3 linked regions of the Mytilus edulis genome follow. The protein of the gene in region 2 purifies or fractionates together with the protein of the main gene of each other region. This does not show direct contact. Links are inferred from orthologs where the notes say so. Each region holds a gene or a part of one and is shown on either strand. Other genes may lie near its edges.

Evidence for each region. Proteins that work in one complex are often made in the same cells at the same time.
Region 1: the proteins of protein phosphatase 1K, mitochondrial-like (region 2) and lipoamide acyltransferase component of branched-chain alpha-keto acid dehydrogenase complex, mitochondrial-like purify together in Homo sapiens (affinity purification with mass spectrometry; 4 studies listed by BioGRID and IntAct, counting the BioPlex papers as one, with this or other methods). This does not show direct contact. The link is inferred for Mytilus edulis from reciprocal best matches to the Homo sapiens genes PPM1K and DBT.
Region 3: the proteins of protein phosphatase 1K, mitochondrial-like (region 2) and 2-oxoisovalerate dehydrogenase subunit alpha, mitochondrial-like purify together in Homo sapiens (affinity purification with mass spectrometry; 4 studies listed by BioGRID and IntAct, counting the BioPlex papers as one, with this or other methods). This does not show direct contact. The link is inferred for Mytilus edulis from reciprocal best matches to the Homo sapiens genes PPM1K and BCKDHA.

The regions. Positions count from the first base shown.
Region 1 is NC_092344.1:17,374,737-17,383,006, reverse strand, and holds the start of lipoamide acyltransferase component of branched-chain alpha-keto acid dehydrogenase complex, mitochondrial-like, read left to right. Parts: upstream 1-4,969; 5' UTR 4,970-5,041; coding exon 5,042-5,098; intron 5,099-7,315; coding exon 7,316-7,436; intron 7,437-7,779; coding exon 7,780-7,852; intron 7,853-8,270. Other genes in the region: mitochondrial substrate carrier family protein ucpB-like, read left to right, coding at 1-92, 1,193-1,374. UniProt on the Homo sapiens protein: The branched-chain alpha-keto dehydrogenase complex catalyzes the overall conversion of alpha-keto acids to acyl-CoA and CO(2).
Region 2 is NC_092357.1:7,377,475-7,384,978, forward strand, and holds the start of protein phosphatase 1K, mitochondrial-like, read left to right. Parts: upstream 1-4,282; 5' UTR 4,283-4,432; intron 4,433-6,643; 5' UTR 6,644-6,811; coding exon 6,812-7,161; intron 7,162-7,504. UniProt on the Homo sapiens protein: Serine/threonine-protein phosphatase component of macronutrients metabolism.
Region 3 is NC_092346.1:74,984,569-74,992,513, reverse strand, and holds the start of 2-oxoisovalerate dehydrogenase subunit alpha, mitochondrial-like, read left to right. Parts: upstream 1-4,644; 5' UTR 4,645-4,733; coding exon 4,734-4,829; intron 4,830-7,566; exon of another isoform or gene 7,567-7,622; coding exon of another isoform or gene 7,623-7,643; intron 7,644-7,945. UniProt on the Homo sapiens protein: Together with BCKDHB forms the heterotetrameric E1 subunit of the mitochondrial branched-chain alpha-ketoacid dehydrogenase (BCKD) complex.

The DNA.
Region 1 (8,270 bases), on a different chromosome or scaffold from region 2:
TATATCATCTATGGTAGCTGGTTTCATGGCTGCACTTACAACCTCGCCAGTAGATGTCGTCAAAACCAGAATCATGAACCAGAAATATGAACGTAAGAAGCACTATTTACTTTCCGAGTTGTTTGATTATCTATAGTATATTTTATAATTCCCATGACACTTCATTACATGGCATTAAAGTATAAATTTACGTACCGGGGTACTTGTAATATAGTATGTATACATACTTCCGTTGTTCCAAATATAAGAGTTACATGTCCATAAGGCATTTTTTCTTTATGTTTGTCGGTTATTTATTCTTTATATCTATATATATATATATATGTTGTGATGATGTTTAGTTTATTGTCACAAACAATTATAAATATTGCACAATGTGTTAAAGTATTCCTTAAAAACTTAATGATTTCTTTTGTTTCAAAATTGATTTACCGAACATGGATGTTTAACACTGAATGCAAAAACTTTATTTAGATTCGGTGTTGTTAGTAAGCTCTAGAGAGAATTTAACTGGATACATACAAACATATGCAACAGCATAGAAAAATATTCATGCAATAAAACCTAAAATTAAGGAATAACAGTACTGTAGTTGAAGAGTTGCCACTGTCAATTGCAGATTTGACGGTCGCGAATGCAGTTTTACTGGCGACGCGTAGCGGAGACAGTGAAAACGGAGATTTGCGACCGTCAAGTCAAAATTGACGGTGGCAACTCTTCAACTACAGTACTGTTATTCCGATTCTGATGCATTACAATAAGAAAAGAACAGTAAGCACTGCACAAACATGGCAAAGCAAGTTATACATTTTATGATTATTCCCGTTTCCGCGTAATCATTTGATAGCTAGTCCGAGATTACTCTGACGTCCATCGGCTGTTTTGCCAAACAAACAGTCCGAGATAACAAACAGTGTGAGATTACTCTGACTTCCAACGGCTGTTTTGCCAGACAAGCTCCGAGATTACACTAACGTACAACGGCTGTTTTGCCAGACAAGCTGCCCCAGCCTGTCTGTCAAAACAGCCATTGGACGTAAGAGTAATCTCGGACTATGGATAACATGATCATTGTGATATCACAAATAAATAAATAAGTAACAAAATAAAATGGGTATTCCACACATTATCTATATTAAAAAGAAAGTTGTGTGGTCAATGTGGAATTTTAGGTATTTGTTATGTTTTTCAGATCACCACGAGAAGGTTTATAAGGGGACGTTTGATTGTTTGATGAAGATTGTCAAAACAGAAGGATTTTTAGGACTTTATAAAGGGTTTATACCGAACTGGATGAGAATTGGTCCTCATACTGTTATATCATTCTTTATATTTGAACAGTTAAGACGATCTGTTGGGATGGATCCTGTTTGATGTAAAAAAGGACTAGGATTGTTTTGTAATTTAGTGTTTTTAAAACGATTCTCAGGGAATACATACACGGATTAGAAGACGGATCAAAATAAGCACTTTGTTGCTTGACGGATTAGTATAATCACGAGTTGCTTGTGTCTCAGTGAATCCTTATTGTGAATGTGTTTATAATTATACTTGTTTATGATTATTCATCATGAAATATTGTTTACAACAACACATATACGTGTAATCCAGACATTTTTATTCATATACATATAAATGGTGTTTTTTATACAGTTATATTTTAAGAAATTTATTTATGTACGGAATGTGTATAACAGAGAGAGCAGGTGCAAGCTGATATTTAAGTTTTGTATGTGCAATAAAAAGTAATTATAGTTTGGCTCTTGTACTTTTAAACCTTTACAAGAATGCAGACGGAGGAGAAGGTTCAATGACTTATAAGAAATAGAACGAACCAAAAATTGTATTTGGAACATTGTTGTTGTCATGGTGAAGTTCGGGGATCTTTTTTAATTTTTTAAAGTAAATATATTTAGAAAATCAATAACCTCGATGGGGAGGGGATGGTACTAAGCTCTTTGGTTCTATATGGAAAAGATTTCCTTCTGGTTTTTTTTTTCAAATTGTTTCTTATGCTGTGTCTAAAGGTCTCTCTAGATATGTTTGCAAATTGGACAACTATCGATTAAAAGATCAAGGGACAAGGATGTATAAAGTGCAATTCACCGCACCACACAATGAAAAACAAGTGAAATTGATGCCATCAACTACAATTCACTGTACAGCACAATGATATATACAATGGACACGGATGCCATCAACTTCAATTCACCTTACAACACAATGAAAAACAAGAGACAAGGATGTAATCAACTACAATTCACTGTACAACACAATGAAAAACAAGGGACAAGGATGTAATCAACTACAATTCACCGTAAAACACTATACAGAACAAGGGACAATGATGTCATTAACTATACAATTCACCGTACAACACTATGCAAAACAAGGGACAATGATGTCATCAACTACCGTGAATTCACCGTACAACACTGTACAAAACAAGGGACAATGATGTCATCAACTACAATTCACCGTACAACACTATACAAAACAAGGGACAATGATGTCATCAACTACTATTCACGTACAACACTATACAAAACAAGGGACAAAGATGTAATCAACTACAATTCATCGTACAACACAATGAAAAACAAGGGACAAGGATGTAATCAGTTACTATTCACCGTACAACACTATACAAAACAAGGGACAATTGAGAGTTATCTCGTTGGCACTCACACCACATCTTCCTATATCTATTTAAAAATGTGAAAAAAACTATTTTCAGTCCTGAAATGGTTTGGAAGGCTGTTCCATAAAGTAGCAGCAGCAAATTTGAAAGTTTTTTTTTACCGTAACGGGTTGGCTTTACCTACGGAATTTCCAGAATATTTACATACCTGAAATAAAATTGAGAATGGAAATGTGTCAAAGAGACAACAACCCGATCATATCTGTCTGCTATGCAGACAACAGCCGTCGTCACCAATGGGTATTCAATGCAGCGAGAAAAGAATACTTTTAAATTTCTTTGACACTCACCAAATTGTGTAAGCACACAGGAGCCATATTGTTTATAATCTTAAAAGTTTCTAGAGCCATTGTTCTTATCCGTCTGATCTGCACGGAGGGCACCTTAGCCTCAGTAAGTTAGAAGACCTCATAGGAGCTGGTAAAATCCTCATATACGAAACGAAGTGCTCTTTCCTGCACCTTTTCTAGTTTTTTGGAATTTCTCTCAGTGTAAAAATGCCATACCAAAGGGAAAAAATCAAATTACTTAGAATAAAAGTATGAAAAATAATAAGTTTACTAAGTCTAACCAAAACTAAGCCTTAACGTTTAAAAACATTTAATTGCCTTGATGCCCTTCTACAGATTGAGCTGACATGAACATCAAAATTTAACTGATGGTCAATTTCAATGCCTAATAATTTTACTGTTTTTCACATGTATGTAAGGTTCGAAATTTGAATATGTATAGATGGTCAAAGGTCAAAGGTCTTTTTGCCAACAGCCAAAACTTGAAACTTGTCGGGATTTGCTTGCATTTTAATTACCCGGAACCACTCAATAAGTATTTTGACTCAGATTCCAAAGTTGAAATTAATAAATCAGAATCTGGAGTACAGATTACCATCTGCATAGTGATGTAAACTACCATTTTTAACAAAAAGAAAAATATAATTTATAAATATGTTAAACAACAATAGCCCTAGTAAAGAACCCTGTGACACGCCTTTATGGATATTAGCACAACCACTCAGAACAGTGTTGACTTTAATTTGCTGTTTACGATTATCAATTACCAACCCAGGCTTCATATGTGGCTTCGTATGCAGATCATATACACACACGGAAATTTATAAAAATATTTTTTAAAGCCCGACTCTTTTTTCCAAAATCATATATGATCAAATAATTGGAGAATTTTACACTCAAAAACTGAAAAAATATTACGCGATATCGGATACAAATTTATTGCTAAAGGAAAGCTATAGGAAGGGATATTTAAATTCACAAGTCAAAAGCAAATAACAATACCATGACAAAAAAAGAAAGGACGAAATCAAAAGACAAACAAAAGTACACACATCTCAGCATAAAAAATAAAGACATAACACTGAATCAAAAACCTTGATCTATATTAGAAATACCCCTTTAAAAATTCAATTCCTTCTTGTAATCAAATTAAAATTGCCAGAACAATCTCATCATGACGGCATTGAGATACAAACTATGTCTCTGATTTTATTGGGTGAAGGAAAGACAAATATAAACTACGTGTGTTGTTTTGGGGAGCAGTACATCTAAGGAATCAACAATTCGACGTCCAGGTGGTGGAGGGCAAGTGTTATGTTTGCGTTTTTCAATTTCTCTAAATATTCCGAGCCCCACTTTGACGGGAAAAAATAATGTGGTGAAGCATGCAGATGACAACACATTTGAACATGAATTCAGTATTCTGAATGCAAATCAGAAACCCCCATACTTCATAGTATAACATTTTGAAAGAAAAAAAATCTGATTGATTGCGTTGAAAACTAAATAAAATTGTTTATACTTTGCGCAAGAAGAAAAATCTGACTAAGAAGAACAAATGTAACCCACTCCCCCCTTTTATTTTTAGTTAAATGGTTGTTCCCTAATGGGAAATGAATCTGATAGCCAATATCAAGGACGTGAGTTGGTTAAGTCCAAAAAGTTGTTTCGTATTTGCAAGAGCCCATTAAATAAAGAAAATTAATAAATAAATTGAATTATTTTTAATGGGAAAAAGTTGGGGTGTGTGTCCCAGTCAACCAATCACAAAACACTATTTCAACACACAGAATAGTAGTTTATCTTAATCCGTGTAAATTCTACGATTAGACAGCAATTGAAGTTGAAATATATTACCTATTAAAAAAAGAAGATAATCAATATTGCTCGGGGGCAGCAATAATCATGTATAGATTTTTTAGAATCTAAAGGAAAAGGATTTGCAGATACTGTTATCGGGATCGATAAAAATTTTAGTTTTATCTCAACCTGGGTTCCTGCCGATGGCATCCTTCTGTCTGTTTGCAAACATCTAAAGAACCAGTTTAAGATGGCATCGACGGCCTTGCGAAGGTTGAAATGGGAAAAGTTTAGGTTTCTTAATAATGTACGAATTTATCAATCCCTAAAAACAATTGCAGTCAATCAAAATTATCGGTAGATGTTAAATATTGTAAAATAATATGTTGTTATTATTGCAATGACTAAATACACACACTTTAAAAGACGGTTATTCGATCCAGGATCCATGTAAATTCAGTTTGTGTTTCGTGTGTGCTTCATTCACTTCTTTTTTTTAAGAAGGGAATCTAGTTTATCCAAAATAATAGTTCGTAGATTTTCTAAATAATTACAGACTGATTGCTACACTCCCCCTAGTTTTTAGTGAAATTAAAGCTTGAACTAAACACTGGAAATTATGCTTGAGGTAACAAGAGGTTTCGGCCTTGGTCTGTTCACAGGAGTTTGAAATACTAGCAATAAAGGTGTATAAATATGCCAAACTCGACCAGTGTTCTAACTACAGAGTTTGAACAGGGCGCAGCGCATGCCCTTTTTTATTGACGCAATGCCTTTTTTCTGTCGTTCCTCTGGCGCCCTTCCGTTTTTATCACAGAAAATTGGCATTTTCTGCCTTTAAAATATCGGTAAAATCGTAATTGTTTCATGAACAAATGATATAAATTTACGCGTAAATTGCCTTTTTTTCAATGACATTCATGCGCAAAATTGCCCTTTTTCTGACTAGCACCCTGCCCTTTTCAAATCTTGGCTAGAACACTGTCGACGATCTGTATCACAGCAGAGTTTCTCTTAAAGACAGAATTTAGTAATAAAATTGAGAAAGGAAATGGGGAATGTATCAAAGCGACAACAACCTGACCATAGAGAAGACTTCCGTAGGCCACCAATGGTTCTTCAATGTAGCAAGAAACTCCCGCACCCGTAGGTGTCCTAAGACTATAACAACTTTAGCATTGAGAATTTTCTTAGACAAAAACAAATGATAAAAAGATATACATGTACATGTACTGTGGTACAGGTAGTAATCATGGTTATTGTACACATACATGTGAACCTCCCGACGGGAGTACAATAATCCCGTTTTCAGTGGTCTCCTCCCGTCCTCCCGTTTAGGAGAAAAAACTCCCGTGTATGAAATATTTCATGAATGAAAATTTTCATCCGCCGTATTTGATAAATTCTTACTACCGTACGGGTGCAATTGACACCTGTGTTAAATTTTACCTGTAAATCAAAGAAGATGTATAATTATATGGCTTCACTTGACAGCTTGGGTGTCAAACCTACTGGTAATCAACGATGTTTACCTCTGCTAACTGCCGTTGTTTAATAAAAACTTTGTGTATTCGAAATAATTGAAATACATTTTTATTACTTCCCTTTGAATTATCCTGTTTTAAGTTATTTTGCTTTTAAAAACGTAAAATGTAAAAAGACTATAAATGAATGATATTTTAATCAAATACTCATAAAAGGATGGTATTTAAATGAATTTAAATGTGTTGGGACTTAAAAAAAAAGGCTGATTAAAAATCCTAGTTAGTTTTATGCCTATTAGAACCTTGGGATCAGAATTGTTTATGTCATTATATATAAAATTTAATGAATTAGCTAAAGATAAAAAAAAAAACTTACACTGTTTGAGCAAGGATTTGTATAATAAGAAGGATTGGAATCTCGTGGACTTTTGCATAGACTGTAGTATAATGTCTTACTATACAAATCCTTGGTTTGAGTCAAAGTTTTCTAGAAATTATATGACTTTCATAATGCTTTTAAAAAAACCATGCAGTACTATTGTTAGTGTATAGCATATTTCTTTCTTATTTGTCTATACAGTTACCAATGATGAGGAGATGGAAATATAAATCTATACAGATAAGATAAATAAATTAAAATATAATGATTTATTTGCAAGCAGTGAACAATCAATTATCAAAAACAAAACAAATTCTTCTTAATATTTTATTTTCATTCAAATAGAAAGGCAATAAAGGTACTATAAACATATTACAATTTGATGGAAATTTGAAGAAAAAACACAATTTCTACATCATACAGTTACATTTACGACAAAATTTATGTCGATAAAAAACCTCCTGATCTGAGTCCTAATCTCCTGACCAAAATTTCCAAATCTCCTGATCTGAGTTTCACAGTCCATCACATGTATGTCGGTACATGTACTGTGGTACAGGTAGTAATCATGGTTATTGTACATTGTTATAAGGAACAGTTCAGAAAAAAACTGATTAATATAAATGTATGCACTGAAAAATTTCTTTACATTATTTTGCAGTTATCTAAAAGAAAGAACAATTGCAATCAACATCATACAAGGACAATTTGTCAAAGAAAAACAAATCAGTATATTTGTCACAGTCCGCTAGTATGCTGTAGGACTTTTCATTCGTCTCCAGGTAGGTACAAAATGTACATGGACATACCATACATTGAAATAAGTTCCTTAACCTAAGTTACCTTATGAAAAATAATAACATCTTTTTTTTTTGTTCTTTAGAAGAAATTAAATATTTTCTAAAGTCTTCTCTTATTTATTTATTATTATTACCAAATGAACACATTCAAATTACTTGGCCTCTTCATTTGACAACTGGCAATTGCTGCTTTTGTCTAAAATTGAGAATGAAAACAGGGAGCATGTCAAAGAGACAACAACCCAATTAATGAGCCGAGAATAGTATTTCAAGAAACTTCTGCTTATCAATGTCATTACAGCTTCTAATTATTTATATTTTACAGTTTGTCATGAGTTAGTACAGTTTAAACTTGCTGATATAGGTGAAGGCATAAGGGAAGTTCAGCTGAAAGAATGGTATGTTATCAAACTTATCAAATAGTGGAACTTTATATCTATGATATGTGTTTAGTTTTTATTCAACTACAAAGTTAAATATTGGGATATAAGGATTGTTCATCCATGGATCTGTTCAGGCATGTCAATCTTTTCAGGTTTGAGATTTATGACAACTAGCTGCCTTTTGATTTAGATGATTTTCAGTATAGTCATTCCCATGAATTACTTTAAAAACATGTCATACTACAATTTCATGCCTCACCTATGACAGTTGAGGGGATTATGTTTTCTGGTCTTTTCGACAAGTTTTCGTCTGTTCGTTTGTTAGTCCTTCCGCTTCAGTTCAAGTTTTTGGTCAAGCCACCAGGTACATTTTGATGATGTTGAAATCCAATCAACTTTAAACTTTGTACACATGTTCCGTATTATATTCTCT
Region 2 (7,504 bases):
CAATGGTATAATTAGTATTTTGTTTACCAGAATTAAACTCAAGACATACCATTTTCAGCAAGTATTGTTTATTTAAGTTTCGGTGAGCATCGTTGAACGTATGCCCTTCAGGAGCATCTGAGATCAACCCCCGTTTTCGGTGGAGTTCATGTTTCTCGGTCTTTACCTACTATGATGTGTTCTCTCTTCTGTCTGTTGGTCATTGTCTTTTTAGCTAACCTGGCCCGAAGGGCCAAATGAGCTTTTCTCGTCACTTTGCGTCCGGCGTCCGTCGTCGTTAACTTTTACAAAATCTTCTCCTCTGAAACTAAAGCATTTAGAGCAAATCTAACGCAATAAAATTGTTCATCAAGTGAAGATTTATCTGCCCTATAATTTTCAGATGAATTGGACAGCCCGTTGTTGGGTTGCTGCCCCTGGTTTGGTAATTTTAATGAAATTTTGCCGTTTTTGGTTATTAACTTAACTACTATTATAGATAGAGATAAACTGTAAACAGCAATGATGTTCAGCAAAGTAAAATCTACAAATAAGTCAAATGACCAAAATGGTCAGTTAACCCCTTAAGGAGTTATTGCCCTTTAAAGTAATTTTTTACCAATTTTTGTAATATTTTGTAATCTTTTACAAAAATCTTCTCCTCTGAAACTACTGGGCCAAATTTAACCAAACTTGGCAACAATCATCATTGGAGTGTCTAGTTAAAAAATGTGTTTGTTGACCCGGCCAACCAACCAAGATGGTCGCCATGGCTAAAAATAGAACATAGGGGTAAAATGTAGATTTTGGCTTATAACTCTGAAACCTACGCATTTAGAGCAAATCTGACGAGGGGTTAAATTGTTTATCAAGTCAATTGTTTTACAAAATATTTTCCTCTGTAACTAAAGGGCAAAGTTTATTATAGATAGAGAAAATTGTAAGTTACAAGAATGTTCAGTAAAGTAAGATCTACAAACACATCACTATCATCAAAACACCATTTTGTCATGAATCCATCGGAATCCTTTGTTTAATACAAGTATGCACATAGACCAAGGTGAGCGACATAGGCTCTTTAGAGTCTCTAGTTTAGTCATGGAGTTGTCAGTTTATTTTCTTGGTATCTCCCACCTCCCTATTTTCAAAGAAAACTGAGTAAATGGGTCTTTAAAAGCTCATATTTTCTCATTTCATCAATGAAATAGTATATGAACGAGGGATTATTATAAAGTATTATTAACCAACTAAGTGCATTACTGCCAAAAGTGACTGTTTATTAAAAATTACATATTTTCTGTAATGGCCCTGTTTTTCTGTAATGGCCCTGTATTAATGCCCAGTTTGTCTGTATTAAGCCCTGTTTGGGTTTTTGGATAAAGTTAATAAAACTAAGTTGTAAAGAGTATAATACCTTTTTGTATTTTATTTAATTTAGTAACCAGCAACCAACATTAAAGAACCATATAAGAGGATCACTGTTCATCCGGTTTTTTAACACATATCTCTTTCAACTTAATATCTTGGATATTTGGTATATTTAAAGCTTTATAATGGTGAAGTACAAATTATTTTGTTCAAACTAAACTGTCATTAAAAGAGTAAGACGGTACATCAAGTTAGCAGCAACACATACACTTTTGTTCAGTTGGTTAATAAATGTATTAATAAATGGGTGTTTTTATAATGGCCCTGTTATATGTCCTCGGTCAGTAATAATGGCCTCGGATGTTTGTAATAGCCCTTGGCTTTGCCTCGGGCCATTACAGACTTCCTCGACCATTATTACAGACCTTGGACATATAACAGGGCCATTATAAAAACACCCATTCATTAATACCATAATATAAACATTAATTTCCTTTAATTTCCTTTTCAATATTATAACTTTATAATTAGAAGGGGAGAAATAAAATCTATAGTTTGAAATTATCAATGTTGCCCAGCATAATTATGATTGAATACTGTGGGAGTTTCTCGCTACGTTGAAGACCTGTTGGTGACCTTCTGCTGTTGTTTTTTATTTGGTCGGGTTGTTGTCTCTTTGACACATTCCCCATTTCCATTCTCAATTTTATTTGTTAGATGTATTTCTACTTGTTTGAACCTGATGCGGAATTACAGCATTGTTAAACTTGATTTTATAGTGTGTTTTTTTTTTATTGTATACTGTAACACCATTGTTCCAGGTTAAGCGGTGGTTGGGTTTATGCTAACATCTTTAAACCCGCCACATTCTGTATGTGGCTGACCCAGGTCACCAAGGAGCCTGTAATTTGGTGGTTGTCGTTTGTTACTGTGCTATATATTTGTTTAGTTTATTATTTTGTACACAATTTAGGCAGTTACTTTTCTCGTTTAGGATCGTTTGATATTTTTCATTTATAGGCCTTTTAATTTTAAACATATTCATTTATAGTGGATTGGGAAACAAGTTTTGTAATTTATATTAATCCCTTTCCACTTTGAGGTTGCGAGTGCTGTCTTGTAGCGGCGTTAGCCTTCTCTTAATTGTAGCTGACTGTGAGATATAATCTTTGTTTATTATTGAAGGCCGTAGGTTGACCTATAGGTGTTACTTTCTGTGTCACTTGGTCTCTTGTGTAGAGTTGTTGCATTGACATGCATACCATATCTTCTTTTAAAACACATCTAGGGTATGTGTCTATTTGACAGCAATTCAACGACACAAAAACGAACTCGAGTCAATTTAAGTGTTCGGCAATATACCTAGTCGAAAGATTATTATTCTATCGTGAACTTATTCACTTACTATTCAGTACATCATTCTATAGTAATTCCGACTTAAACTACTACAATATAGACTGTGATTTTTAAAGACCAATGTCTTATAATTGAAATAAAAGCAGGCCAACTGGGACACCACTTTCACGTAGAGTGCAACTAATCGTATTGCACAATACAAAAAGAATTGTGAAATGTATATCCAAATTTGTATATTGCCTATTTTACATATTCGAAGTCCGTGTTTTTTTCGGTGAAAGGAGTCATGAATTTGAAACTTGACATACATTTCTGTATCACTAATATATATAGCCTTAATTTCATATTTGTATTCAAATAAACTGATCGAAAGTTTACTCGCACACAAGAACACTTTGAATGGTTTGAAATTTATCCTTGGCTATGTGGTGGTCAGTATATGTTTGTTTGCAGTGATCTAATATAGTGGGAGTAGATTTGAAATATAACATCTGCGTTTCATATAGAAGTAACGGAAATTGTTGATAAGATATATTGCTTTCATGTTTTACTCTATGTGCCTCATGAAGTAGACAACTTAATGTGTGCTGTTTGGTCGGGTTGTTGTCTTTTGACATATTTCCCATTTCCATTCTAAATTTTAATCATATATTGTGTTTCTTTTCAAATGCAATGAAAACTACAGTTATGAAAACATCAGATATCTGTCAAATCTATTTGTCTCTCCGTCAAACAGCGTAAGCTTGTTAATCTGATTTTCATACACGGCTAATAATTTCCCTTTTTACATTGCTTTTATAGATGGTGAAACAGATATCATATAACCGAATAGTATCGAATGTGAAAAAGAAAATATGATCTAAAAATGTAATAGAAATGTTTTGTTTTTCTTAATTCATACATATATATATATATACTGGTTGTGTAATTTTTGATTTTATAAAAATGGATAATTACCACGTGAATCACTGTTTACATTTACTCGGAAGAAATTGTTCCGAGTATTCCTTATTTTGATTGGTCAATTTGTTACCTGGATACAGGACGCTCATATATATTTCTTTGTTTCGGGATTCGCGGTACATTTGAAATTTTTCATTGAAATTATTTACCCTCCCACCCGCCGCATACAACTGTGTTAGTTATGAATTTTAATGTATTTTATGTACTTATTTATAAGATGTGCTTGTGTATACTGCGGCTAGCTCATGTGTTTATTCGAGCTGTTTGGATGAATATATTTATCATTTCTAATGGCTAGACGCTATATTTGCTCTTGAACATTAACTTTACATGTTATATGTGACTGTCAGTGGTATAGTCTATAGAAAACTGTACCCCCCCCCCCCCCCCCCCCCCCCCAAACAAAAAACTATCTTTGCTCGGTCCTAATGCATGTTCAGTTTTGGCTGATTATGACTTAAAAAGTACTCTCTTAATGTCATAAACCAAAGACATTTGAATACAAGCAGGAACATATATTAAAGTTAGATATACTGTATCCAGATACAAGTGATAAGATTTTATTGTCTTTTAATTCCGTCTGATATTCCGAAACTTATTATCTGTTCCGTGATTGTTTTGTTTTTATTTTTTTAATATTTCGAATCAAAGTCTAAAAAGTGTTTTGAATAAATGTAAACAGGATCAAAATTTAGTCTTTTTGCGCAATGTTTTGTCGTTTATTTGGATCAATACAGTGAGAAGATTAGACAACATTGTTTAAAAGGTAACAAATGAAAATGTTTGCTGATTTCAAAGCTAATGTAATGTTATCAAACATTAGGGGCTGCATCGTCAGTTCAGACTTCCAAATGGATCCCTCAACCGGTCTAAACGGGTCTCCAAAAAGAAAAATCAAGCTAAATTAGCCAATCTGGTAGTTTGGTGAACCGGTGTACAGTGTTCCCTTTCCTGATCTGGAGGAAGCTGAGTTTATTCCAGATTTTCTGGCATGTCAAAGGTTTTCTGACAATCCGTTTGGGTGTTTGGGAATTTGTGTCCTGATTTAGCTACTCTATTATATAGATAAACCCCATTCAACTATATTTTGCACCGAAACCTTGCCACTAATGCATACATGACATACATGTACCTGCCTACATATGAAACCTTCAAAGATAGAGATCTCATTCCAATATGACAGTAGAGGGGTAGATTAAGCAATCTGCACGAATTACATTTTCCAGTTAAATATATGACCTGTTTACTTATTCATCTACACTGCACTAGTAATAGTTAATAAATATTCTTTTGCTGTATGTATGTATGTTCCGTAGCTCCCTCCTTTAGTAGGAGCACCACCATGGGTTATGGTGTAAAAAGGAAGACATTTAACACACTGTATCGGTACAGATTTAATGTGAGCATTTGCCTATCCAGTCTCCCAGCCTGGCCGTGACGGGTCTTACAGCCAGAAAGTTAACCTTCCCAAAACAATAAGTACAATGTAATAAAGCATACGAACACACCCACTCACCTGACTCGCTCATCCTCAAAAATATAAAAAAAACATAATATAAAAAAAACATTATATACAAAATAAGGGATAAGGTCACCCCGGATGCCGCACAAATGCCTAGACAACGAACAGGAAACCGGAGAGGACATACTTGGAATCCAAACCGATACCGCTAAATGCCCAGCTGTATTCCTGGTAGAGGAAAGGCTGTACATTGACCTATAATGAATTACTTTTATAAATTCTGATGGAGAGTTGTTTCATTGGCACTCACACCACCAGAGGCGGATTTAGGGGGGTCCATGCCCCCCCCCCCCTTTTTGGGAAAAAATTTGGTTGCTTATATAGGGAATCACAGAAGCCTGACTGGAGCTGTCTCCATTGTCTTGTTTAATATATATATTTTTGTTATTATCCTGATTATATGAAATGTTTGTATTTTAAATGAAATCCTGTTTTGTTTTAATCGCTAGAACACAATGTATGTTTATTTTAAGCAGTTCTGTTCTCATGTTTCTCAACTGCTTAAATAATAAATGTACAAACACAATATGCTGCATGTTTTGATCAACTTTATCATGTTTATTATTGAAATCAATTTTAGATTTGTATATTTTGTCTTGTCATGCTTGTAGTCATAACTAAATTTGAATGATTGTGCCCTCATAAGACTTTATTTTAACTAATCACTTTGCTCTTATAATATGATAAGAGCAAAGTGATTATTTAAAATAATAAAAAATTATAGTGGTATTTTATCAGGTTTATTATTCAATGATCATCATGATCATGATCATAAATTTACTCTGTTAACCCTTTCCTTCATGGATTTTTTTTTCTCACATACTTGATTCGCATAGGATTTTTTCAATAAAAAAAAATCATCAGCTTTAAAGTTATAATGCATTATGAAAAACGAATATTTCTTCAATGAAATTCAAGTCAGATATTCTCATGAATATCCTTTTCATATTGGATACAAACTTTTTTAAGTCTGATGCAGACATTTTGTAATCAAAGCGTTTCAACTGAGGTACTACACAGGCGTCAAAAGGCATCATTATGGAGTAAAGGGGGTGGCATCAAAAAGCGTCATTATGGAGGAAAGGGTTAAAAAAAATTCACAAGTTAATGAACTTGAAGTCACTCAACTTTATAGCAGTCATGGCAGGGAGATGTATGAAATATTTGAAAAAGTTATTTACTTTATGTTACCATGCATGTATAGAATAAATAATATTAACCTAAAGTCAATAACAAAGGTTTATTTTTTAGATCAGGAATGTCTTTGAAGTGTTTAAAAATCAGTGAAGAAAAACTATTTAACAGGAGTTATGGCTCTTAGCTCATTGTAGTTTGAAAATCAAAATAAATATATAGAAAATTCCATTGTATTAAAGTTGTCTCAAGGTAAATAAATGTGTATCTCATCAGTGCAATTGATTACTGTTCTTTTATTTTTAAAATTATATTTTTCAGGTTCTTTATGTTAATTGTACATGATCAGAAGTTGGGATGAAAAGATTGAAACTTAAGCAGGTTCAACTGTAATATTTAACTACTAAGGGGGATAATTCTATACATGTAGGTGCCAGTTTAAGAGGGATATAATATCTAGAACAAAGGTATCAGATATTGAAAACTACAATGCTGTCATCATGCTGTAGATATTTCCCAAGTATTTGTCAGTGCTCAAGAACCATTTGTAGTATAAAACAGTTCTCTGGTGAAAGGGACAACAGGTTCTTAAAACATCAAGAACTTAACTTGCAACACACAGTAAAGAGGCACTATGGAACTCCTCTTACTGACCCAGAAAACAAAGGAGGTCAACAAAGGGGAGTGAATTTTGACACGTTGGGGTCATGGAATAATAGATTAGATATGCCAATTATGATGAACGAGAGTATTAAAAGAGGAAATCTGATTCCAGAAATTCCATTTGAACATGTTGGCATCGATTCACTTCTTGGACGTAGAAAAGTAAATGAAGACAGGTACATATTTTACTTAAGATTTGGATTCATCCTATTTGACAAAACCAATAATGAATTTTCATTTATATTCTATTTTTTTGGTTTTGCCAAAGTTTAGGTCTGCATACAAACTAAAATAATTACTTATAGTAAATTTGCAGTTTATTGATCGCTTAATTTTCTTTGTTATCTATACCCACTAAATCCAATAAAAATTTGTATTCAAATAATAAAGAATATTTCAAGTTCTATGAGTGAGAGTCCTGATCAAGACATGTAAGATAAACTTAACTATTTATTTATTTTGACAGATATTTTATAGAGAAGATATCTCCGACATTGTTGTGTTTATACATGTATGTTT
Region 3 (7,945 bases), on a different chromosome or scaffold from region 2:
ATTCTAGATCCACACACCAGGAATTTTTATAAGTCCTAAAGTTGTCAAAAGATATCATATCATTTGGAAGGGAATTTTTTCACTTGTGTTGCTAAAAAACTAAAAGATCTTATACCATAACTTGATGTTCTTGGTCTAGGTACCCCAGCAGTGTTCCCATACTTGATATTATATATGTTGTGTTTTATAACAACTAGTTCTTGAATGGATAAAGAACAGTTTTTAATTGTAATATCAAAGTTATCCCGAATTCAAATGAGCGCATTTAGGCTACGAGCTTTTAGTGATGTAACTGAGGTTTGAAATCTGCAAGTTAGAGTGTTTCGTACGAGTTCCCGTGGTCTTGATAAATATAACGAAGAGCTCGTTCTAGTATTTTCGTCTATGCCGGTTCTTGTATTTTGTTCCACACAAAAATGCATAGTCAAAATTTGACATCATGAACAATTGGGAAAAAATGTAAGTCCAAGTAGTTTTACCTCATCCTCACACGATATAGAAATACTGTTCAAACCAAACACATTTTTTTTATTATGTAGATAGGTATAGGAAGATGTGGTATGAGTGCCAATGAGACAACTCTCCATCCAAGTAACAATTTATAAAAGTAAACCATGTTTTTTACAAGAGAGATAGCTTGAGATTTCTCTGGGTAGCCTGCATTTTGTTTGAAGAAAACCACAATATTAAATTATTGCCGTCTTCCTCAAGAACATAAATGACATCTTGTACGGAATTTCCCGACTGACTTTGACAAAGTATTGGCCTCAGAATAATCATATAAAGAACAATTCTTAATAAAAATTTACTATTTAATATTAACTTCAGGAAAAAAATGTACGGTGACACCATCTTTGTTTTGAAATTCTGAAATAATTTTCTAAAATCTATCTTCTCGTATTATATTCTGCAATTCTTTCATTTAGTTTATCTTCTAGTCACAAACTGATGGTTGTTCCTGTATAATCCGCACACAATCATGTTGTCATTTATTCACAATCTGTAGCTTGAGAAAAAACTCGGTGACCTATCATTTGGATTATATTTTTGAATCACAATATATACTTCGCCTTGGCAAAGTATGAACACATTCTATCATCTTTAATTCATTATCCCATACCACCTTAAATATGTCATGCATACCACTTAAAATTTTGATTTTCTTTCACCCACTGATTTTTTGTTGTTGTGAAATTACCATACAACATATCAAGTGAGTTTTTTTTTAAAGACCATACTATTTTAGTTTCATTTGTAGTCAGTCATAAGGGAGGCAGTCAAAAGCTTTTCACAATCCACCAGGATAGCTGCAAGGTATTTATTTTGGTATAGGGCTAATTTCCATTCTTCAATCACTCTTAATAAAATTGACCGACATCAAATGCTTGATATAAAAGCTGCAAAAAATAGATTGAAAATATTATCAAAGTACTGTCGTACTTATTGTACTTCAGTGACATAAAAAAAAAAAGAGTAGAAATGGCCGGTAACACATAAGTTTTACCGGTCTATAAAAACCTTTTTCTACCGTATTTTTTTGTGAATAGGTACAACTTGAGCTTCCTTATTATGACCAGGGACTGTTTAAAAGGATGGTCGAAAAATACCAAAGGGACAGTCAAACTCATAGATCGAAAACAAACTGACAACGGCATGAATAAAAAAGAAAAAGACAAACAGACAAGACACAACATAGAAAAATAAAGCCTAAGCAACATGAACCCCACCAAAAACCTGGTAGTGATCTCAGGTACTACGGAAGGGTAGGCAGATACAAGCAGATCATGCAGTCCAAATGTGACACCTGTCGCGTTGCACATGTTATTACAAATCCGGTAAATAGTCTAATTCGGTTAGTCACATTCGTGAAAAGGGAAGGAGATTGTACGGGTATATTCCATAAAATATATTTTTGAAGTTTCATTCTTTACCGTTTCAATTTTTGATAAGTTCTTAACGTATTTTCGATGATTTAACTATTTGTCATCATTTCAAAGACCATTTTTCTATGATCATGCTTTTTATGGAAAAAGTAATTTGCCGTTTTCCAAGACATGTGAATAATTAAATTTGACAGTAAATTAATTTTTCGAAGCAAATCCTTGCAGGTTACTTCATATTAGATATATTGTCTTGTAAGACTCTGGCTTTGACTTTAAAATATGCCGAGTCAGAATCCTATGATGAGATGATTTTAGAGACTGAATACAAACGAGAAGCATACATAATCAGCGAATATAGCTACTCTACTCAGAATCATCGAAGACTGGAAAACGGCACTTGATCAAAATAAGTTTATTGGCTCAATTCTAATGGATCTATCTAAGGCTTTCGATTGTCTCCCTCACGATCTTCTACTGCTTAAGCTTGAGGCATATGGTCTTTCGACTTCCTCATTAAAACTCATTAAAAATTACTTATCTAACAGGAAACAATGTGTTCGAGTTGGCTCTAGTCTGAGCAATTGGCAAAACATATATAAAGGAGTACCACAAGGTTCTATTCTAGGTCCTATACTGTTTAACATCTTCATTAATGACATATTTCACTTCACCACAAACAGTTCATTTTACAATTATGCTGATGACAACACATTATCTTATGCAAATAGAGATATAAACACCGTTATCTCCATACTTGAAAAAGACAGTTTGGCTCTGATAGAATGGTTTTCTTCCAATCAAATGAAGGCAAACCCTGAAAAATTTCAAGCTTTGGCAATTGGCAAAACAACAATGGGCAAAAACATTACATTTGATCTAGCAGGTAACAAAATAAAATGTGAAAAAGAGGTCAAACTATTAGGCATCACCATTGACTTTGAACTAAATTTCAACACGCATATATCAAACATCTGCAAAAAAGCATCCAGACAACTAAATGTTTTAAAAAGACTTGGCAAATACTTAAACAAACTTGGAAAACTAACAATATATCACTCCTTTATTATGTCAAACTTTAATTTCTGCTCATTGTCCTGGCATTTCTGCAGCGAGGCCAACACTACAAAAATTGAAAAAGTACAAGAAAGAGCACTTCGCTTCATTTACCAGGATCACAATAGCACATATGAAGACTTACTTTTAAAATCAAAAATGCCATCACTTAAAGTAAGACGCCTAAGAACCATGGCAATAGAGGTCTTTAGAACAGTCAATCATGAAAACCCAATGTACCTCCATGATCTTATAAAGATTAAAAAAACAAAATATTCTTTCAGATACCAAAATTTAGCTGAAATACCTGACGTAAGAACAACAAGGTATGGCTTGAAATCTTTCAGATATTCTGCTGCCAAACTATGGAATGAGTTGCCAAACCACTTTAGAACTGAAACATCTTTTACCCAATTCAAGAGTCTAATAAACTCATGGAATGGCAACTCATGCCATTGCAATGCATGTGCTTAGTTTTATTTATTTTATGTTACAGCTTGAAAATAATAGTGCTGCTTTTTGTGAATGTTTGCTTAGCTTTTTATAATTTATGAATGCTGTGCTTTATTTTTTATGTTTGCTTTTAGTGCTTATTCTTATGCATGTATAGAATATAGTATTTAAATAGTGTAGCCTAAATGTGCATGAAATGTATGTTCTATGTCTTTTATGTTTTAATATTTGTATTGTGTATGTTTGTTATGTAAATGTATGCATTTGTCGGTTATAAAAGCTCAGAGAGCTTATGTTTATTTGTTATGTAACATGCCGACTATAAATAAAGCTTTGAATATTAAGTGCCTTACAGTGATCTACATTAGTTTCATAATATGTATAACGTGACGGTACCCAAATTGCACCTATTTTGACAGTTTTTTCACCTACGTTTTTTTATGATAAAGACAAAAATTTCCATTCTGTGTTTATTTTGTAACCGTATCCTTCTTTATTATAGAAGTACATCAATTTCATTTTTAATCCATATGGAATCAAAGAAAAATTGGTCTAAACTGACCTCCAAACCATCAATGATTCTGAAATGAGGAGTACCCAAATTGCATCCATGCTTAAATTCGCACTGTCAAAATTCTAATAACAGAGCTTTTGTTTAATTTCTTCAAATATTTTGAACAATTGGATATTAGTCCATGCTTACTCTTTATTTTTTTTTCAAATGGATACTTGTAACATATTGTATTTGATCATTTTAAAAAGATGACGTTTTGATGACGTCGCATGGCGACGTTTCAGTACAAATTTTTAGTTTTTTAGTAAACACTTCACCTGTTGATAAATACTGTGAACGTTTTGTGCATATCTAAATAGTTTTACCTATGTTGAAAGATGTGCATAGTATCAGATCATAAAAATACAAATTGTTTACGGTCTCTAGGAAATCTTGTTAGATTATTTTTACTATTTTGGCTTAATAGGTGCAATTTGGGTACTCGGTGCAATTTGGGTACCGTTACGTTAAAACTTTTATATTGATTTTGGAACATTCAAATACGATAAGATAAGATAAGGTACGAAATAAAATTCAAATTCAAATTTAAAATATCTATTGAGATTGATTAATTGTATTATATGTCTCTGATTTGCATAAGGTCGGAGTGACGTCCATTCTATATATTCAACACAGATCATATTTCAATGATTAAGATTTTTAAAATAACAGATTACGCCGTTTGTCTGAAACTAGTAATCCCTTTTCGACGTTCTCTAGAGTTTTCCATTAAACAATTGTTTACTATGTAGTTGCTTTGAAGGACAAAATATTTTATAGAAGAAAACGAAATGGCTTTGCTTAGACGTCTTCTGTCTCCCAGAATAACACAGATAATAGGCTTTCAAGCTAAGCAACTGTCAACGTCTTCCAAATGCCAAAATGTGGTTCGTGTTACTTTGTTTTTTATTGGGTTCTTTTTGTATAATTTTGTATTTTTGTATTTTTTTTTTTGTATTTTTTTTTTATATATTGACATTTCTCCGCACAAACTACTAAGATCTACTAATGCCTCATGTTTGTCTTCTCAAAGTGAAGATACACTTACCGGGTGCACTTGAGTCATTTTCAACATAGTATTCATTGAATAATAATACATTGCTACTATTTTGTTGAGTGTATTTTCTGAGTTATATTATTTTATTTTATTATTTTTATAACACTTGTTACATATCTTTACTGTGTGTGTATTGCATATGTTATTGTTTATAAAAATATTGTCTGTATCATATGCCCTCCTGGGGCCCTAATTTGGTAAATAAAAATATTCTATTCTATTCTATTCTGTACATTAGTCGTCATGCAGTGCATTTACACAGGAATCCGGGTCCGTTCGCCCAAATTCACTTTTACGATCGCACCCTGTGAAAGTGTGAATAATTAATAGTGTCATGTTGATAGTTCGCATACCTGCCAACTGACATTATTTGTGGGGTATTTCCCCCATGGAGGCTCCAAAATGGAAATTTTGAAAGAGCAATTTTGTCCACAATTTTTAGGTACGGAAAGTGATTTTTTTAAAATCAACTGATCTAAGAAAACTTAACCTCATTTTAAAGGCATTGTGAAGACATTTTCAAAACACTTTTATCAATACACATAATAACAACGGAGAAATAGCAAATTTTCAAAATGGAAATTTTTTACTATTCTGGAAAAACTGTTTCCTCTCTTTAAAAAATAATAAAATATATTTTTTTTTAATCATTTGGGTTATAGTTTTGTTTATATTGCTTCTTTTACATCTTGTTAGTCAATTTTAATCCTCCATATTAAGTTTTTTGGTTAAAATAAAAGCATAAAGCATGAAAATGTCAACCACTCTCATGAAATTCTATCGTTCAAAGTCACATAACATGACGATAACTTTATATATTCCTTTTTTCAGAGCATCAGTTGGTATATTGAAAATGTAAAGTAAAACTTATAAACATTTGAATGTAAAGAAACAAAATATAAATATGAATATTACTCTTTATATATACAAATGTATATGTTTAATTGTGTGTGTGTATAAAAAAGAAGATGTGGTATGATTGCCAATGAGACAACTCTCCACAAGAGACCAAATGACACAGAAATTAATAACTATAGGTCACCGTACGGCCTTCAACAATGAGCAAAGCCCATACTGCAAAGTCAGCTATAAAAGGCTCCGAAATGACAAATGTAAAACAATTCAAACGAGAAAACTAACGGCTTAATTAATGTCCAAAAAATGAACGAAAAACAAATATTTAACACATCAACAAACGACAACCACTGAATTACAGGCTCCTGACTTTGGACAGGCACATACATACAGAATGTGGTGGGGTTCAACATGTTAGCGCATGCCCAATCCTTCCCCTGACCTGTCACAGTACAACATAAGAACGAACTATAAAAATCAGTTGTACCATGAGAGACAAGAATTGTTTTGAAATATGTCATGATTGTCATCTGTCTTTGTATAGTCATGATAGTTTTAGAATGTTCCCTTTTCATTAACATTCAATTTAATGAAATATTCTTATTCTTATATATAGCATGTATAGTAAATGCTTATGAATAAAAATAAACAACAAGCTTTTAACAATTATTCTACAGGACTAAAATACCTGTTGCACTGAAAAACAATGAAAATAATATAACATTATTTTTTATTCGAGAAATTTCAAACAAAATAATTATGTCAGATCACTGTAAATACTTGTACATGTATGTATAAAAGTAAAGTAAATTCATATCTGTATATCAGTTACAATATTAATACAGTGAAATCTGTAAACCAATCTCATTCAGGACTGAAGTTCAAAATGCATTGAATGTGAATAGCATTCGAAGTGAACTGCCACTACTGCATGGATTCCTATGTATGTTTTTAGTTGAACATGTTGAAAATACATATATTGATTGTTTTAAACCACATTATTCAGTATCCTTACTATCTCATGTGCAATGACAAGTGGTTGAACTATCTTTAAATTGCAATAAACTGGCTGTATAATGCAAAAAAAAACAACCTATCACCGCTGATTTCCAATCAAAACTAAACCAAAAGTTGTCCATGCAAGGGAAATAACTCTGTATACACAAAAAGGAGGCTTATTTATAAAAAATAATTTTGATATGAACACAGCTATCTAGATATATTTATTGGACCCAATTATTTAATTGATATATTAAACTTAATAAAAAAATACATTTTATGGCTGTATAAAGTTCCCTTGTATTTTTTTTAAACGAATGTAACTTTCAAACCCTTGTTTGTACCTCAAATATTTCATGTATTCCCGAAAATTATAATATACTAAATCATGTATATTCATATAATATCTATCAAAAGCAATCAGAACCTTCTGAGACTTAACAAGTTAATAGAAGGCTGTAATCGGAGGTCGCCCAAAGATTTTATATTTACACACATCTGGGAACAATTATTTAGGGTAATTTGGAGTTATCTCCCATTGGTTTGCCATACCTACAATTTTAAACAAAACAATAAAATGAACAATACACCTAATCGCTATTTATTCCATTCCGGATAAGTTTTAAAATTAAAAAGTTTAAAAATTTAAAATCCCGGTCGCTTGACCTTTTCAGGCATACAATATACATGTAATCACTTTTCCATTGTGACGTCAGATATTTTGTTTTATGACGTCAAAATTTTACAGGAACCTGTGTGATATCTTCTAATGGCGGACAAATCAGATAAGGTGTATGGCTATAAGTTTGTAAAAGTATAAACAACCAATAAACAGCATTTAAATATATTTGAAGGCCCCCTTAAAGGTTTTGAAAAACTATGAGAGAAATCTTGCACGTTAAACCCTCATGGGATTTTTGAAAAGTTGGTAGGTATGAGTTCGTCTCAAAGACTTGTAAACGAAATGCAGAAGATTCCAATTGACTATCAAACTCACAAAACACTCAGCTGTAGAAAATATTCATCTTTCATTTTTTTTTTCATTTTAATAAAATCTTCAGTTCATATTTGTTTTTACTCCTACGTACCAAG